Macaca mulatta: one gene and its partner. The protein of the gene in region 2 purifies or fractionates together with the protein of the main gene of each other region. This does not show direct contact. Links are inferred from orthologs where the notes say so. Each region holds a gene or a part of one and is shown on either strand. Other genes may lie near its edges.

What was found. The genes of interacting proteins can lie anywhere in the genome.
Region 1: the proteins of TAF10 (region 2) and USP22 purify together in Homo sapiens (affinity purification with mass spectrometry; 4 studies listed by BioGRID, with this or other methods). This does not show direct contact. The link is inferred for Macaca mulatta from reciprocal best matches to the Homo sapiens genes TAF10 and USP22.

What each region holds. Positions count from the first base shown.
Region 1 is NC_133421.1:21,923,720-21,927,950, forward strand, and holds the start of USP22 (ubiquitin carboxyl-terminal hydrolase 22), read right to left. Parts: upstream 2,807-4,231; 5' UTR 2,634-2,806; coding exon 2,463-2,633; exon of another isoform or gene 1,554-2,462; intron 1-1,553. UniProt on the Homo sapiens protein: Deubiquitinase that plays a role in several cellular processes including transcriptional regulation, cell cycle progression or innate immunity.
Region 2 is NC_133419.1:59,170,822-59,173,984, forward strand, and holds TAF10 (transcription initiation factor TFIID subunit 10), read left to right. Parts: upstream 1-1,332; 5' UTR 1,333-1,344; coding exon 1,345-1,576; coding exon of another isoform or gene 1,577-1,591; intron 1,592-1,714; coding exon 1,715-1,869; intron 1,870-2,084; coding exon 2,085-2,149; intron 2,150-2,233; coding exon 2,234-2,348; intron 2,349-2,525; coding exon 2,526-2,615; 3' UTR 2,616-2,663; downstream 2,664-3,163. Other genes in the region: scaffold protein ILK, read right to left, coding at 2,926-3,075. UniProt on the Homo sapiens protein: The TFIID basal transcription factor complex plays a major role in the initiation of RNA polymerase II (Pol II)-dependent transcription.

The sequences.
Region 1 (4,231 bases), on a different chromosome or scaffold from region 2:
TGGTAAATAACATACATGTGGCTCAACAGTTTTGAAACTAAGCAACTGACATCTGAAAAGATTAATCAGAGCCATAAGTAACGCAAAAAAAAAAAAAAAAAAGTAATTCTTTCCTTTAGGAAATTAGGCAAAGTTAGTTAATAATGGTTTAAACTTGACTCCTTCAGCTTTGTTAAAAATACCAGAGGGGGGGAAGAAAGGGAGAGAGAGGGATGGAAGGGAAAAAGAAAAGGAGGAGGGAGAGGAAGAGTGGGGCATTCCCCACTTCATCCAAAGTACAAACGAATCTTGGGCACGTCACGTCCCAATCCAGACACCAGAAGGCCGGCTTCAACCAGGTCATCTTTTTTTTTTTTTTCCAGACAGGGTCTTGTTCTGTCACCCAAGCTGGAGTGCAGTGGCCCGATCACCACTCACTGTAACCTCCGCCTCCCGCGTTCAAGTGATTCTCCTGCCTCACTCTCTCGAGTAGCTGGGATTACAGGCGCCCGTCACCACACCCAGCTAATTTGGCCGGGCGCGGTGGCTCACGCCTGTAATCCCAGCACTTTGGGAGGCCGAGGCGGGCGGATCACAAGGTCAGGAGATCGAGACCACGGTGAAACCCCGTCTCTACTAAAAATACAAAAAAAAAAATTAGCCGGGCGCGGTTGTGGGCGCCTGTAGTCCCAGCTACTCGGGAGGCTGAGGCAGGAGAATGGCGTGAACCCGGGAGGCGGAGCTTGCAGTGAGCCGAGATCGCGCCACTGCACTCCAGCCTGGGCGACAGAGCGAGACTCCGTCTCAAAAAAAAAAAAAAAAAAAAAAAAAAAAAAAAAAAAAAAAAATTTTTGTATTTCTAGTAGAGACAAGGTTTCACCATGTTGGCCAGGCTGGTCTCGAACTCCTGACCTCGTGATCTGCCTGCCTCAGCCTCCCCAAGTGCTGGGATTACAGGTGTGAGGCCACCGCGCCACGCCAGGCCATCTTTTCTTCAAGACACACAATTCTACTAGCAAGACTCTAACTCCGATCCTAACAGAAACGTTTTATCTCTGATTTTAGTTCATCTAGACATAGTGCTTCCCGCTATCTTTACAGATAAAAAAAATTTTGAGTCCGGGCGCGGTGGTTTACGCCTGTAATCCCAATACTTTGGGAGGCCGAGGCGGGTGGATCACCTGAGGTCAGGAGTTCGAGACCAGCCTGGCCAACATGGTGAAACCCCGTCTCTAGTAAAAATACAAAAATTAGCCGGGCATGGTGGCAGGAGCCTGTAATCCCAGCTACTCTGGAGGCTGAGGCAGGAGAATCGCTTCAACCCCGGAGGCGGAGGTTGCAGTGAGCTGAGATCGCGCCACTGCACTCCAGCCTGGGGAACAAGAGCGAGACTTCGTCTCAAAAAAAAAATTTTTTTTTTGAGTTGCTGCTTAATATACCCTACAATCTCAGCAGGCCTGTTGGTATTCCCATAAAAAAAAATGCCACTCAAGGTAGAAACTGCCCTCACAACTCCCAATCTCGGACTGTAATCTACAAAAGCGCGTGAAACTGTAAAAATAAAGTTCACTCACATAGAAGAATCATGTTACGTTCTGATTTCCAAATCCTTAGCAGGCCTAACTGCTGGACGCCAAGACCGGGCTCCCGAAGGGGACTCGTTCCTGGCTAAGGCTTCCCACAACACACAGCGCGCTTCCAAGTCCACGTCTCGGCCGCAACGCAAACCCGGGCGGCGGCTCCGCACCCACAGGCTCGCTCCATCCCCAGCACCCGCCGCTCTCCACCTCCAGTTCCCCGCGGGCCCCAAGGCAGCCGCAAAGCTGCCGTCCAGCGTCCCCCAACCCGCCCCCTGCCCCAGCTCCCGTCCAAGGTCGCTCCCGGCGGCGGGTGATCGCTGCAGACCAACGCCCAGACCCCGACGGCATCCCCCACCCTTTACTCATTTTTTTTGAAATATTTCTTTCTCTGCACCCCCATCCAGCCCCGAACCCTCTGGAACCAGGAGAGTTCCCCGCAGGGACCTCTCGCACGAACGACCGGGACCGCCCACTGAAGTCCCAGGCTCCCCAGGCAGCCGGGCAGGAGAACACCGCCCCCCGCCCGGAAGCACTCGCCCCTCCCGGGCCAAGAAGGATAAGGGAGGGGGAAGGCGGAGAGAGAGGAGGGGGAGGGGAGAGAGGAGGGGGAGGGAAAAGAAAGGAGGGGGAGGGTAAGGAAGGACGGAGGAAGGGGACAGAGGCGAAGGATGGGAGAAGGATGAGGAGGTGGGGGAAGGGAGGGAGTTGAAAAGGGGACGGGGGGGACGAAAAGGAGGGGGAAGGGGTAAAGAGGAGAGAGAGCAGAAAGAGAGGGGAAGAGGAGGAAGGACAGGGAAAGGCAAGGGGGAAAGGGAAGGGGGAAGGAAAAGGGCCCCTCCCCCGGCCGGCCTCAGGAGAGGCAGGAGGCCGCGAGCCCGCCCCGGGGTGGGCTGCCGGGCGCACCTTGCGCTTGCGGGCCTCAGCCGTGCCGCTCCACACGAAGCACTGGTAGATGGCCCGCAGGTTCTGCTTCCAGTTGTCCACTTTGAAGCTGCCCAAGTGCGAGCAGCCCGGCGGCGCTACAGCCAGCTCGGCGTCCATGGCCTCGCCCTCGGGCTCTGGCCGGGACACCATGGGGGGCAAGGCCCGGCCGCGCGCGGGGGGCGGCGGCGAGGGGGGCGAGGACGACGCCAGCGCGGCGTAGGGGCTGCTCGGCGGCGGGCCTGGCCGGCCAAGGCACGGGCGCCGAGAACAAAGCGCGGAGGCCAGACAAAGATGGGGCTGCGCGATCGCTGAGGGGAGGCTGCGGGGCAGGCACCGCCCCCGAGCTGCGGCTGCTGCTGGCCGCCCGCGCTGCGCTCTCCCGGTTCGCGGAGGGCGTCGCGGGGCGGGGCGCCGCGGCCGCGGACGGAGATTACGTCACCCCCCGGCCGGCACCGCACTGCGCAGTCTCTGGCCCGCGCCAGGCCCTTCCCCCCTCTCGCGCGCCCGTAGGCTGTGGGTAGACCGGAGCCCAAGGAAGCGTGGTGGGGCGAGGGGAAGCTAATGAGAGCCCGCCCCTTCCCTTCCTCTATTGGTCGCCGGCCACCCCCCCCCCCCCCAGTATCTTCGGCCATTTTCATAGGCTCTCAGTACAGTCCGTCTGGCGACTAGACGTTCCCTGTCTCTTCCATCGGACTAGGGAGGCGGGGGCGTGCTGCGGTTGGGCGGCGCGAGGCGTCCGTCCTAGCACTGAACCGGTTTGCGCCGGCCTGAGCTCTGCCGCAAAGAGGCGGGGCGACAAGCTGGAGCCCTGCAGGTCGGGCCTCCATCCAGGGCCTGCACTTTCCCACCCAACAGCATCCCCTGTTCGGGCGCTGTCTGCAGGGCCCCCGGTTGCCGTAACCTGGGTCGGGCCCTGCAGTGCCGCGGCTCGGGGCTGGAACTGCCAACTGCCTGCTCCGCGCCGCTCCCTGCCTCAAGCTGCGGCACCTCCTGTCGGGAGCCCGCGGATAGCGAGGGCCAACCCGGCGCCATCCAGTTGAAAGAAGATGCACGCCACACGCCTGACACTTCTCATTTGCTGGTGGCTACGTTTTTCTAATGAAAAGAAAGTTAAATATAGTAAAATATCTTAACCCAATAGGGTCAAAATATTTCAACATGTACGCAGTATTGCAGAAATCGTTAGTGGAATATTTTACAGTTTTTGCAATCTTCGAAATCTGGTATTTACACAACAGCACATCCAATTCCTACTAGCTGCTACCGCCATGGGCTGCACAGGTCTAATCGGTATACAAATAACTGACCCAAGGCAAACTGAAAAGACCTTTAAAGACGAATGCAAACAATGTTCTGGGAGAGCCAGGGCGCCAAGAATCTGGGGGAACTTGGATGAGGTGTGAGGCGTGGTGCTGCTCCCTGGTACTCCTCCCACTGCTAACTGCTTTGCTCATTCATCCACAGATTGCAAGAAACAGCAATTGCCGTCCAGAGCCATCACAAGTTAAAAAATAAAGATTGTGATCTCACAACACTTAAAGCTACAGGGTTTAATGGGCTGACGACTGGAATAAAGTTTTTGTGGCCAAGATAAATTGCCTAGCACAGGTTTTTGCCTCATGGCCTTTGTGCTTGTAGTACCCTCCGCCTAAAACGTTTTCCCCACCCCCTAATCCCCCCCCGCCCCGCATCCTTATATTCCATGGCTGATCGCTCACCTCCTTCCAGCTTTATCACACACCTCCTTT
Region 2 (3,163 bases):
AATCCCCAAATCATCTTCCAGAGTAAAATGCAAATCCCATCAGGCCACTTGGATGAAAACCCTTCAAGGATTACTGGATAGAGTTCAGGCTTTTTATTTTCTTCCCCCAATCATAGCTCACAAACCTTCGTTGCTATTTGTTCCTAAGTAACAAATCATTTTTCCTCCTCCCTCCCCAAACCCCAAGGAACTCTCACTCTTGCTCAAGCTGTTCTGTCCCCTTAATACCACCCCTGATACAAACTGCCTGGTTAATTTCCAGAATTCTTACAAGATTCAGCTCAGAAGTCACCTTCTCTCGTGAATGTTTTGATTCCCTGAGGCTACTTCATTTTGCTATGGCTGAAAAATCCTAGATTTTCTAAACAAAACCTGTTTGAATCTTGGTTCTGATATGGACTGGGAGAGAGACTGGGTCAAGCAAGTTTATCTCCCTGAGGCTGTTTCCTCGTCTGTTAAGTGGGAATATTACCTGCCTTTCCTAATCACCAGGGAATAAAGTGGAATAATGTTGATAAGAGTACTTGGCACCTGGAAGTAGGTGGCAGATGTTAATGCCCTTCCTCCCTTGCACTGCGACCCCTGTGTCTACCTCTAGTATTGTAACGACCACATAGTATTGAAATAGCCACTTTACTTGTCTGGCTTCCTTTCCAAGACCGTTGGTGCCTAAAGGACTAGAATCGTGTTCTATTTAACTTTGTATTCCCAGGTCCTAGCTCAGGAGTTGGCAAATAAGAATTAAATATCTGCTACATTGAAAATCTCACGCCTTTCACTCGTTGTGATTTTTGCATACGTTGTCGACTTAGGCTGAAACCCCTCCTCCTTCTACAGCAGCACTGTGGGCCGCCCCACTGCTGCCCCCACCTCTCGGGGCAGTTGGTGGAGAAGGGCGGGGGGCTTTCCAAATCCACTATGAATCCTTACAAGGCTGAATAAGGGAACTTGAAAGGATGCAGACAGGCAGGCAATCCGTAGTCGAGGGATGTAGGGCCCATAAACCTCGAAGCAAGGTCTTGAGCGTCAGACAGAATGAGGTGTCCCAGAGCGGCGGAAGAGTCCCGGACGCACGCTGCTTCTAGTCTCGACGGAATCGCCACCGAGCACCGCAGAGGCTAGGGCGGAATGGCGACGGCAGCGCAGTTCGCCAAGGCTTGGTCTCCGCCCTTCAGCCTATTTCCTCTAACCCGCAGACCCACTACCAGAGGAGGCGGGGAGCGGGCTGGAGAGCACTAACAGTGACAGGCGGGGCGAGTCGAGGGCGCGTGACGTCACCCCGGGGTGTGCGCGGCGCGAGCGGAAGCGGAAGCGGCTCTGTTCGCCGCCTCTCCCACCGGCCCGATGAGCTGCAGCGGCTCCGGCGCGGACCCCGAGGCGGCGCCGGCTTCCGCCGCCTCGGCCCCGGGCCCGGCACCCCCGGTCTCGGCTCCCGCAGCGCTGCCCGCCAGCACCGCTGCGGAGAACAAGGCCAGCCCCGCGGGGACAGCAGGGGGGCCTGGGGCTGGAGCAGCTGCTGGGGGCACGGGACCCTTGGCGGCGCGGGCCGGGGAGCCAGCTGAGCGGCGTGGGGCGGGTGAGGGCCTGACGGGTGAGGGCGAGGGAAGCGTCTGGGACTGGGCCCAGCGGCGGGTGAGGGCAGCGGGTATAGACAGACCTCGCTGGGGCCCTGCGCCTCCCACCTCTGTGTCTCATTTTGCTGGTTCTCCTCCAGCTCCGGTGTCGGCGGGTGGCGCGGCGCCCCCAGAAGGGGCCATGTCTAACGGGATTTACGTACTGCCGAGCGCGGCCAACGGAGACGTGAAGCCGGTGGTGTCCAGCACGCCGTTGGTGGACTTCTTGATGCAGCTGGAGGATTACACGCCTACGGTGGGCTTCCGCCCGAACAAGGCCACCTAGCCTGCTGTCACAACTTTCAGCCACATCTCCGTGCTTTTCAGCACCCTCTGATGTTTGCTTCCGTAGTCGCTCTTGTTTTTGCCCTCTGCTCACCCAAATCGTGAGCTTCCTGATAACCAGGTCTATCCGACATTTCCCTCACCCTCATCCCACTCTGCTGACAGTTCTCTTAATTGATTTCTTAGATCCCAGATGCAGTGACTGGTTACTACCTGAACCGTGCTGGCTTTGAGGCCTCAGACCCACGCATGTGAGTAAACCCAGGGCAGGTTAGTTTTGGGTGCTTGTGCAGTGTGTTGTCCATCTCCTTCTCATCTAAGTTTTTTCTCTCTAGAATTCGGCTCATCTCCCTAGCTGCCCAGAAATTCATCTCAGATATTGCCAATGATGCCCTACAGCACTGCAAAATGAAGGGCACAGCCTCCGGCAGCTCCCGGAGCAAGAGCAAGGTGTGAGGGGAGGCTCATTGAATCACTAATTACCTTCCACAACAGTGGAAGCTTATCCTGCCACCCCTTTGGGGAAACTGAATCCTAGGGGAGGTGTAAAACTTACTCAGGGTCACCCATCTGGGATTGAAGTGTGGGATTCCTGTGCTCAGTTGGTGCTCTTCCCTCTTCCCTCAGGACCGCAAGTATACTTTAACCATGGAGGACTTGACCCCTGCCCTCAGCGAGTATGGCATCAATGTGAAGAAGCCGCACTACTTCACCTGAGCCACCCAACCTAAATGTACTTGTCTGTCCCCATGTCCCCACACCAGCCTGTTTTCATAATAAACTTTATTGTGACAGGCGGGGCTGATCCCTCCCATGTTGGGAGACACCATGTGGCAAGTGACAAAGCTCTGAGCCCGCCCCTTTTGGGGCCACAGTGGTAGGGATGGGGGAAGGGGATGGACCCCATGGCTGGGGTAGTACCATGACTGGAGGCAGGGGAGGCAACCAGAGGTCTGCTGCTTTGGGGAGGTACATTCCCCCAACCATGTCCTGACACCTCTGGAGTTCAGGCAAGGGCCTTCCGGTCCTACTTGTCCTGCATCTTCTCCAGGATAGGCACAATCATGTCAAATTTGGGTCGCTTTGCAGGGTCTTCGTTCATGCAGATCTTCATGAGCTTACACACATGAGGGGAAATACCTGGTGGGATGGTAGGCCGAAGGCCTTCCAATGCCACCTGTGAATACAAGAAAAAACTGAGCCTCACAATTTGAGTCTGTCATGTAGAGAGAAGCCACTGGCCCCTGGGACAGGATAACTGTATA